3 linked regions of the Oryzias latipes genome follow. The protein of the gene in region 1 purifies or fractionates together with the protein of each later gene. This does not show direct contact. Links are inferred from orthologs where the notes say so. Each region holds a gene or a part of one and is shown in the gene's direction. Other genes may lie near its edges. The genes, in order: cep76, cep290 and cep97.

What was found.
Region 2: the proteins of cep76 (region 1) and cep290 purify together in Homo sapiens (co-immunoprecipitation; 5 studies listed by BioGRID and IntAct, with this or other methods). This does not show direct contact. The link is inferred for Oryzias latipes from reciprocal best matches to the Homo sapiens genes CEP76 and CEP290.
Region 3: the proteins of cep76 (region 1) and cep97 purify together in Homo sapiens (co-immunoprecipitation; 4 studies listed by BioGRID and IntAct, with this or other methods). This does not show direct contact. The link is inferred for Oryzias latipes from reciprocal best matches to the Homo sapiens genes CEP76 and CEP97.

What each region holds. Positions count from the first base shown.
Region 1 is NC_019874.2:5,551,270-5,554,768, forward strand, and holds the end of cep76 (centrosomal protein of 76 kDa), read left to right. Parts: intron 1-103; coding exon 104-277; intron 278-449; coding exon 450-667; intron 668-2,540; coding exon 2,541-2,679; 3' UTR 2,680-2,961; downstream 2,962-3,499. UniProt on the Homo sapiens protein: Centrosomal protein involved in regulation of centriole duplication. Required to limit centriole duplication to once per cell cycle by preventing centriole reduplication.
Region 2 is NC_019864.2:2,301,212-2,304,866, reverse strand, and holds part of cep290 (centrosomal protein of 290 kDa), read left to right. Parts: intron 1-60; coding exon 61-266; intron 267-1,356; coding exon 1,357-1,508; intron 1,509-1,963; coding exon 1,964-2,075; intron 2,076-2,328; coding exon 2,329-2,784; intron 2,785-2,858; coding exon 2,859-3,023; intron 3,024-3,389; coding exon 3,390-3,494; intron 3,495-3,655. UniProt on the Homo sapiens protein: Involved in early and late steps in cilia formation. Its association with CCP110 is required for inhibition of primary cilia formation by CCP110.
Region 3 is NC_019879.2:10,880,713-10,883,602, reverse strand, and holds part of cep97 (centrosomal protein of 97 kDa), read left to right. Parts: intron 1-1,025; coding exon 1,026-1,127; intron 1,128-1,218; coding exon 1,219-1,332; intron 1,333-1,411; coding exon 1,412-1,578; intron 1,579-1,665; coding exon 1,666-1,830; intron 1,831-1,937; coding exon 1,938-2,110; intron 2,111-2,202; coding exon 2,203-2,812; intron 2,813-2,890. UniProt on the Homo sapiens protein: Acts as a key negative regulator of ciliogenesis in collaboration with CCP110 by capping the mother centriole thereby preventing cilia formation. Required for recruitment of CCP110 to the centrosome.

The sequences.
Region 1 (3,499 bases):
AATGTAGTCTCCGAAATCCTCACATCAGGCTCCACTTTGTGGGAAGAGAGAACATCCACTGGGGTTTCGGTAGTGGGTCAGTGTGAACTCTGTTGTCCCTCAGAATCCGTCCCGGTGGAAAGCCATGAGTGAGGAGGCTCTGAGGTCAGTTTGTGGCCCAGGCTCCTGCACCTCCCTACCCCCTCTGCCTCCTCTATGTGCCCCGTCTCTGGATCCTTCAGCAGCCAGCAACCAGCTTGAGATGGAGATGCGCTACCTGGTGTATGAGCACAGGAAGGTAAAGTGGTTTTAAGTTTGATGGAAAACCTACATATACAACCTACATGATACAAAGTGGGCCACCTGTGTGCAGCAGAAAAGGTTGAGTACAAACTATTGGTCATAGAAATTCCTTAAAAAAACATGTTCATTTATTGTTTGTGGGATTGTAAATGAGCCATCTGCTTCAGGACCTAGATCTGGGAACAGTGTGGGACGACCATCTCTGCTACCTGCTGTCCTCGGCTCTGTCCGCTTATGAAATGGAGCGTTGCACTGGAGTTTCCTGCGGCAATGAAGAGTTCCAGGACGCAGTGAGGAGGGCTGTGCCAGACGGACAAACCTTTAAAGGTTTCCCTATACACTTCCTGCACCGCAACGCTCGCAGAGCCTTTGCCACCTGCCTCAGGTACGATCTTTCTGGAGAACTGATGATGCATTCACACTGGACGCGATTTGCGCATCAAATTTGCTTCTGCCGCCTCTCTCTTGACACGCATCAAATTAACTGCTCCACACCCGACGACGGAGCAACTGCCATAGTTTTTCTGGACTTCATTCGTTGCCACATCTTGAATAACATGGATGATGTTGAGCGAAGAACTTGGGTTTATATGTTTTGGAGAGTTCTACAGAGGCGCCAGCAAGCTCGTTGCCATGTCTGTGTTCACCAGATCCTTCAGAGTTTCTCCCGGTGCTTAACTCCAGCAGCGAGAGCTGCGCCTGGATGACGGCAGTTTTAAACATTACTACTGTCTGTCTGTGGCTCAGTTTGAGTATGAACTGGCTGGGGGGAAAATAAAAATAAAACGGGGTTCTTTTTTTTTTATTGCCTCGATGAAAATAAGATAAACATGGAGCTAAAGCGATCGCGGCACCTGCTGTGGCTCTCTGTCCGCTGGCCAGCTAACTACCCGTGGGCCAGCATAGTGACTGCCAGGCCCTAGGCAGCGGTGCTCGCTCGATCCCCTTCCCCTGCTTGCTCGCTTGCTATGCTGAGTTGCAAAGGGGGTGGGGGGGTACACCCTGAACAGCGCCGCCTAGGGTCCGGCCGGACCGCTCTGCCATCGTAGTAGTCTTAATTCGACCTGACAACCCCGCGGCCCCAGCGGGTTAAGAAGATGAATGGATACATCAAGCAGCCATATTGGATGTATTTGTTTACCCTTTGACCGAGCCACTGTAAACGTCACTTGCCCAAAGCTGAGTCCCTAACTGGCGCGTCAACCTCGCCGTGCCACGCCCACATAGGGCCACATGCCCTCAGATCGCTCTGTACATTGACTTAACATTGAAACTCAGTGCCCTTGAACACGCAAATCGTGTATGGCGTGAATGCACCACGAGTCTGACTCCTTTATGAGTTTTGCAAACTGTTATTCTGGATAACTAAAGGTAAAGTATTCTGGATTTATTTAGTCAGGAAACAAACACGGCACTGTTTGTTGTGGGTGACCCTCAGCTTTAGTCGACCTCAGTATGTTGGCCACAAAAGTGTCAGAGGTAACCAACACTCTGCCTGTTAAACAGGGGGTATCTTTTCAGGACTTGAATTTGACCTTAGCTCCAGTGAAAGGAGCTCTGAATACTTCAACAAACCAACAGGATTTAGCCAGATCCATCGTACTTTAGGCTCCTGTTCCACCACATCACTCTGTACCATTTCTCAAAGTGACACATGAATGAGCCAGTCTGAGCTTGACTTGCATGCACAAACTCCATTCTGTCCACTTCTGAGTTTGGACGTGCCACCACAACACCGAGCATCAACCTTGTAACCGGTTCTAGAAGACCACCTTCTGATGTCATTGTTGTTCCTGTGACAGCTAGACACTACAAGAAACAGGAAAAGGTTTCCAGATTCTTCCAACCCAAATGTCTGTTGTGTAAATGAGCCTGATAATAAGTACTTTTAGAAGACACAAAACCTGCTTTTGTATTTAGAGTGTTGGTACTTTAGTACTGCACAAATCCCTATAATTGTGTTTGTCATTTCTGTACACCCTCTCCCTCCTAGAATCAATTCACACAGGTGTTGCAGAATGTGTGGTTGTTGTTTTTTAACTGTAGTTGCAGAACAAATCTTCATATTTGTAAGCTTGGATCATGCTGTCACAGGGATTTATGAGCCGATCGCAGGGCTGCAGCTTTGGACTGCATTGCTGTGCAGACATTTGGTTTCTTTTTCTAAAGCTTTGTTGATTGTGGTGTTTAGCGTCGTAGACTAAAATGTATTTTTTTTTTTTTAGCGGATCTCATTTTTCTGTTCTGTGATCTTTCAGGTCTCCGTTCTGTGAGGAGATCATCTGCTGCCGAGGTGACAGTGTGAGGCTGGCCGTCCGTGTGTGGGTCTTCATATATCCTGAGAACGCGTGTGCCGTGTGGCTCATGTTTGCATGCAAATACCGCTCTGTACTCTAATGCTGCACAGCATCAAGACACTTTATGCAGACAATTTCTGATCACAAAACGTCTGAATCCATCATGAAATGACGGTAAAACCAGCAGTTACAGGAATATTCTGTTCTCAGATACCAGTTCAGGAATAAGCAAAATCTTCAGTTGTAAGTTTAGTTATTTATTTTTGGCAAATAAGATATTTTTTCTAACTGTGTTCTTTTATAGAAGCATTGTAAATGTATTTTTTTCCTGATTGCACATTTTTTCTTATGAACATTAAAGATGTTTATTTCTCCATGAAAAGCTGACTTTTGTTTGCATTAACAGGAGAGATTTCTACAAAACTAGCTTTTGAAAGAGATGAACGGTGCGTCCAGATCAAATCAAACGTCAGGTTTGTTTAGGTCAACAGAAAAATACAACAATCTGCAGCAAGAAAGAATGTGGTGGTCTCAGAAGGTGGGGGTGGGGGTGTCTGTCTTTAAGAGCATTGTCCCCATTAAGTAGAATGTGATTTTCAAAATAAAGAACCCGAAGAAAAGCTATGGAGGAGGTTGCAGGAAGAGCACATAGTGACGATGAAGATCACTGCTCACATCATCTGCCAACACAGCCACATGCCATTCATAGTTTTGACGCCTTCAGTGTGAATCTATAATTTCATAGTCATGAAAATAAAGAAAACTCTTTGAATGAGAGGGTGTGTCCAAACTTTTGGTCTGTACTGTATCTGAAGGATTTTGGGGATGTAGTCCAGGTCAGTGCTCTCTGTGGAGAACACTCACTTATCCTTCCACGTTCTCCTATCTCTGAAATCGATCTTAAACTTTTAAGTTGCAGT
Region 2 (3,655 bases), on another chromosome or scaffold:
AATGGGGATTTATGGATTCTGGCCTGCACATGGTGTTTGTTTTCATTTCACTGTCTCCAGGTGCAGAAACAGGCCTAGATAAAGAAGGCAAGGCAACAATCAACAATGAAATGGTCTCTGCTGCGAGAAGGATCACCACTTTAGAGATGAAGGAGCTGAATGAGAGGCAGAGAGCCGAGCATGCCCACAAAATGTACGAGCATGTGAGGAACTCCCTGAAGCACGTGGAGGAGCGCAACTTGGAGCTGGAGTCCAAATTTGCCAAGGTAGGAAACTTAAAAAGGAGACGTAAAAATGTTTAGGGAGCTAAATTCTTGCATTGTAGCCAAAAATATCCATCTTTGTTTGTAAAATAATTTCAGTGTTGTTATTATGCATCATCCAGAACCTATGGGATCAGATTTCTATGTCAACATGTTGGTTTGTGACTCTAACAGACACAGGGCACATGATGCATGTTCAAGAATGCGCTAAATGAGAGTTCTGAAACGTGCTCAGGGAGGGGCTTCTTCCTTTATTTCTTGTTTTTCTGTTTACCAGCACATGTCTGCCATGTACAATTGGAAGAAGCTCAATGTGAATTATCCAAACAGTGTAAATTTCGCATGTCTTTCTCCATGCTTTTTTATTCACAGCTCTATTCCAATTTATGAAAGACTTGGTGTCATGTAATTCCAGCCCGGCATAAATGCAATCATTCATTTGTAGGCCGCGGTGCAGAGCCAGAGCTGCCAAACTATGACCGGAAGATTACAGTGTCAGTTCCTGCCGTGCCAACCCATTTGTCAAAGTGTCCTTGGGCAAGACACTGAACCCCACGTTGCTCCTGGGGGTTAATAGCTGGTGCCAGTGTAGTGAAGCCGCTGCCGGTGTGTGAGTGAGTGAATGGATCTGAGGCTGTGCAGTGCTTTGGGCTGCCTAAGAAGGTAGAAAAGCGCTACTTAAGCTTACGCCACTTACCATTTTCTCCATGATCAATTTCCAAACGGTTGGCACTTCCAAAAATTCAAGGAGACATCATCCATACGTCACTACCAAGTCTGAGTCCCTGATTTGTCAAAGTTCAACATGTGTTCAATGGCCACACGTTTAGCACATGGAGCCCAAACACAGTCGTAGAAACATGTAGCTATGCCTACACGATATGCACGAGGGTTTTAAACACAGTTTGACTTTACACAGACTTTTCATCGGAAGTGACTGCTTGAGTGCACATCCAAGGGCGATTTTGTACATAGCTTAACAAAGCTTAGAAACTGGACTGTTGTTTCTCTGTTTGCTCTTGATGTTTTCTTAGATAGAGCTTGATTCTACAATGGCTTTTATCAAATCCTTTCTTTGCTTTTTTTTGTTTAGTTGACCAAGATGAATGCTGAGGCCCAAAAGACTGAGCGAGAGCTAAGAGATGAGTTGGCGCAAAGCATCGGCAAAGCTGTGAGCGATGCTGACAGGGCCAGGATCGCAGAGCTGGAAAAGGCTGAGGTGGAGCTCCGGACTGAAGTTTCAAAGTATGTCCGAGTATCTCGGTATTAAATCTATCAATATGCTCTTATCACGAAAAACAAGCTGTGTTGAAAACTACGTAAGCATTCCAGCCATTAATCTGGTGATAAATTTTAAAAGTTAGAGTTGTTTGTTGAGTCTGGTTTTTTAGATAAGTTCTCCTGGCTGTGGTTTTGATGGGAGAAGCTGGAGAGTTTTTCTTGGGCTATAATCAACATTTGTTTTGGAATCGTGAACATAACAGCCTCTCAGCATATTTCTTTCCCTGTTTGTAAAAAGTGAAAATCTGATCTTAGTGCTGAAGTACTGATTATAGATCCATGTTCTCAAAGTAAAATGAGCTTTTCTGTGCTTTTGGATCAACACAATCCCCTGTGTCTGTAAATCATTCGATCAAAGACACCTATTGTTTTCTGTTATTGCTTAAGTTGCACTCAACATATCTTATTCTTTTTGACAGGCTTCAGGAGGTGTCAGAAGTTGCTTTGACTCAGGTTGCTGCTTTACAGGCCAGACACAGGTCTAAAGATAAAGAAGTAGAAGCTTTGAAGACACAAATACTAGATTATCAGGTACGTGAAGTGGTTTTTTTGCTTGGGGCTCTACTACACCAAATGATCTATAGAAACCACATCTGTTAAAGATGAAAATGGTGTCTTTAACATGTTCTTTTGGCATTTTTTTCTGTTGATTGAGGATATATATCAAGAAAATTAAGCTTAAAATTGCATTTCTTAGTATTTCCTTATTAAAATCGTTTAGAATCAGGAGCAGACAAAAGAATACTGTTTGAATTGTGGTTATTAAACTACAATATCTTCTCAGTCACAGTCAGATGAGAAGGCTCTGATCGCAAAGCTCCACCAGCACATTGTTGCTCTGCAGCTCAGTGAGTCGGCAGCTCTGGAAAAACTGGATTCCTCCACAACTCGCATCCATCAGCTGGAGGCCCACATCCTAAGAGCTGAGCAGCGTCTGGACGCCGCCGAGCGCTCGCTTTTCCTCGCCCGCCAAGAGGCCAAGAATCGCTCGAGGCATCTGAGGCAGACCATCCAGTCACTACGAAGGCAGTTTGCTGGAGCGCTGCCACTTCCTCAGCAGGAGAAGTTTTCTGTAGCCATGCTGCGACTCCACGAGGACAGAGTGAAGGCCCAGGAGGAGATGAAGAAAGCTGAGGAGGAGAAGCGGAGGGTCCAGGGAAGAGCCGAGGAACTGGAACTGAGACTGCAAGGCCTACAAGGGCTCATGTCAACTCTGAAGGATGCAAAAGGAGCACAGAAGGTTTGTAGAAGAAACATATGAGCCTATTGACCTATCTTATGCTCACTCTATACACAAGTATGCTATTTACACAGGTAACTGAGTGGCACAAAAGGATGGAGGAGGCTCGACTGCAGGAACTGAGAAAAGGAAGGGAGCTGGTATTCCAGAAAGAGGAGATCAGGTACCTGAAGAACCTTGTGGGAGAGCAGGACCAAACCATCCGCTCACTGGAAGAGGAAATTGTTCAGCTGCAAACAGTGAGAAAATAAAAATCTCCAGACATTTTTAAACTGGCTAAAACCTACTTTGTTAATATATAGAATACTTTGGCTTTATTTCATTACAAAGGTTCAAGGTTCAAGGTTAATTGCCGTTTGCACATACAGTACATTTGAATTTTTCTTTGGCATCTCTCAGGTCAGGGTGAATATAGAGCAAGACAAAATTTAAGAAGAGAACAAAATTAGATTTAAAAAAGTACAAAGTATAAAATACAAATAAATAGGAATATTGCAGCGTCCCAACCTTTTCAGAAGAAGAATTATTGCACTTATGTGGAGTTAAATTGTGTTAACAGTTTTAGAAGGAGGCTTTTTAACAGTAATTTACTTTTCGACATTAAGCTTAACGAAGAGCAACAGCTTGCAAGAGACCAACGGGAAGTGGAGTTGGAGCGCCAACTGGAGGACTACGAGAAGCACCAGAGTGAGATCGTCGGCAGTGTTGAGGTAAAGCATCGCTTACAGCTGGTTAAATCAGTGGTTTTTCACCTTTTTGGAGCTTGAGTTCACGTTAATATCACTTGATTAAAAATCACAAGGGACGCCATAGAGCAATATTGGTACAAAATAAATAAATCCAGTGCTGCAATACAGAAGCTCTCCGTGGC
Region 3 (2,890 bases), on another chromosome or scaffold:
CCAGCCTTCATTACATCTGGGCTGGATTACTGGAATTCTCTTTATTTTGGAGTCAGCCAGTCGTCCGTCTCGCGTGTCCGGTACGCTGCTGCTCATGTTCTGGTTGGAGCCACATCCTAGCTACCTTTCACTGTCTGCCTGTGGTTTTAGAGCTCATTTAAGATTCTGTTTTGAAATCTTTAAATAATCGTACCTTCATACCTGTCTGAGCTTCTCCCTAAACCCCAGCTTGGTGTCAGGTCAGCCTCTCTTGGACGTGCTGAGGTCAGGAAGAAGCTCAGACTGGAACGAGCGTTTTCACTATGTGCACCGAAGCTGTGGAACGTGTTACTGAGTGCAGCAGGGATCCTCACTGTCCTCATTTGGGGAAAAAAAAACAAAAAAACACATTTTTATAGTCAGGCCTTTGACACAGCATTTTTATTTTACACTGTTTTACTTTAGGTTTACACTTTTAGTTGTTTTTAATGTTTTGAGCTTTAAATGTACACCACCTTGTTCTGACTGTGGTTATCTGAAGGCGCCATATAAATTATCATGAATTAAAATGAATATGAATTTTTTTTGGATTTGTAAAGTTCAAAGTTAAACCTCGATCACCTTTAGCGTCTTTCTCTTGCAGTCGTTTCCATTTGTTTTTCCGTAACTCAGTTTTAAAACCTAAAGCGGTTAAGAGCACAACACTCGTCTTAATAGCTGTAAAATCTGAACACAACTTCCAGTTTAGCTCTCGTTGAAGCAGGTAAACAACACAATTCGTTTTGATCTGTTCACATTATATTTGTCTTTTGCTTTTTTATCTAAACACATTTGCAAATAAACGATAAGCTATGGGCTCCAATAAATTGTTGTAATTTATTTCAAACTCAGCAGGTTCAAAAGTTTTTAAACATAAGTGTTGACATAAATATTGAAGTACATTTTAGGATGGTAGTTGTTTTAGTTTTTCTGCAGTTTTATTTTTCAGGTTGTAAAGCTGAATCCATGGGTTTGAATGGATTTAACAGCACTCTCATGTGTGACAGGTGATTGAACAGCTGTACAGCTGTGTGTCTCTTCAACACCTGGACTTGTCTGACAACAACATTTCCACCATTGGAGATCTGACTAAACTGGCTGCATTAAAGGTCAGCGTTCAAACTGACACTCACGCTTACTTAAAACAACACACCGGCTGTGAAGATGTTTGGTTGGTGACTTTCCCCGTTGGTGCTGCAGACACTTCTGCTTCATGGAAACAGCATTACAACACTCCGCACTGTTCCCGCCCACCTGCCGGCGCACCTTTCCATTCTGTCGCTGGCAGAAAACGAGATCAGGGACCTGAATGAAGTAAGTCCTGGGTTTTGATACAGCTTTCCTTCCACAACGAAAGCATCTGAAAGTCATTTTTCTTCTGATTCGTGTTTAGGTGTCGTACCTGGCATCACTTCATGAGCTGGAGCAGCTGTCCATAATGAGCAACCCCTGCGTTATGGCGACTCCTTCCCTGCCAGGTTTTGATTATCGACCGTACATCATGAGCTGGTGTCTGAATCTGAAAGTCCTGGACGGCTATGTGGTGACTCAAAAAGAAGGGTGTGTACGCTCTAGATAAAAAAAAAAAAAGACATGTTTGAGTGTTTGAAATAATTAATTTGTACTATAAATATTTTTCTGATTCAGTCTGAAAGCTGAGTGGCTCTACAGTCAGGGTAAAGGTCGTTCATTTCGTCCAGGGCAGCACGTCCAGCTGAGTCAGTATTTGGCGACTGTTTGCCCTCTGACTGCATCACCAGCGCTGGAGACGGCAGAAAACGCCAAACTAGAGAAGATCCTCAGCAAGCAGAGGTGAGGATCTCTACTGTTGTTCATCATTCCCTCCATGCTCCTCCTACGAGCATCATATGTAACCATTCTGCATAAAAATATCTCTAAGACTGATGCTCTGGTCTTAGGTTTCATCAAAGACAGCTGTTAGAGGAGACCCAGGGAGGCTGCCTCAGTCCTCCACGTCCAACCCAGCTTGACGTGGAGAGGCACAGCCCTTCACATCCACTAGGGGGAGCTCAAGAGGAGAAAGAAGTCACCACACCAGGACCAGCTGATCCTCCATCAGTCCTGGAGAAGGGTGAGGGGGCTTTGCAGCTCTGTGTGCTAGTTGCTGCTTGTTTGGAAGGAAATGTGAAGTGGATTTTCCTCTTTGCCACCTTTCCTGCTTAGAACCAGTGGTGCAGTTCAACACCTGGGTGAGCTGTGACTCCGCTCATGCATCGCTGCCGGTGGTTCACAGCCAAAGGCTCGCAGAGGAACACATTTATTTGGAGGATGTGCAGACCGATGAGGACAAACTCAACAGCAGCATGCTGTCGTCTGAGTCCGTGTTTCTGCCCTTCACATCAGACACAGACCTGCACACGACCCACACCGACACCGAAGACGAGACTGAGACGTTTGAGCCCGATTCTCTGGCTCTGAAACGGCCGGCACAGCCTAAGACGCACAGGACGCGCCACCCGCCAACAGAGAAACCGGACCAGAAGACTATAGAGAAAGAAGCTGGCGCCATCACACCTGCACCGCCAGCCTTCGGAGCCGGAGCGCCACTCGATGGTCCTGAGGCGTCCACCGACAGAGCAGAAATAAAAGGAGAAGTGGGTTTGTTTTTGAGAAAAACGATGACAGAAGCAGACAAAGCAGCTGTTAAAATCCAGTCCTGGTGGAGAGGACAGCACACGCGATGTTGTCACCCCACTGCTAAAGAGGTGCGCGGTGAAATCCGCCTGCGGAGGATGCAAGATCACATCGTCTTTCTGACGGACAAATTAGAAAAGTAAGTGACTCAACAAGCGTCTGTCACACACATTCACCTCTTTGTTTGAGGTGGAAAGTTGTCCATGAGTGTTCATGC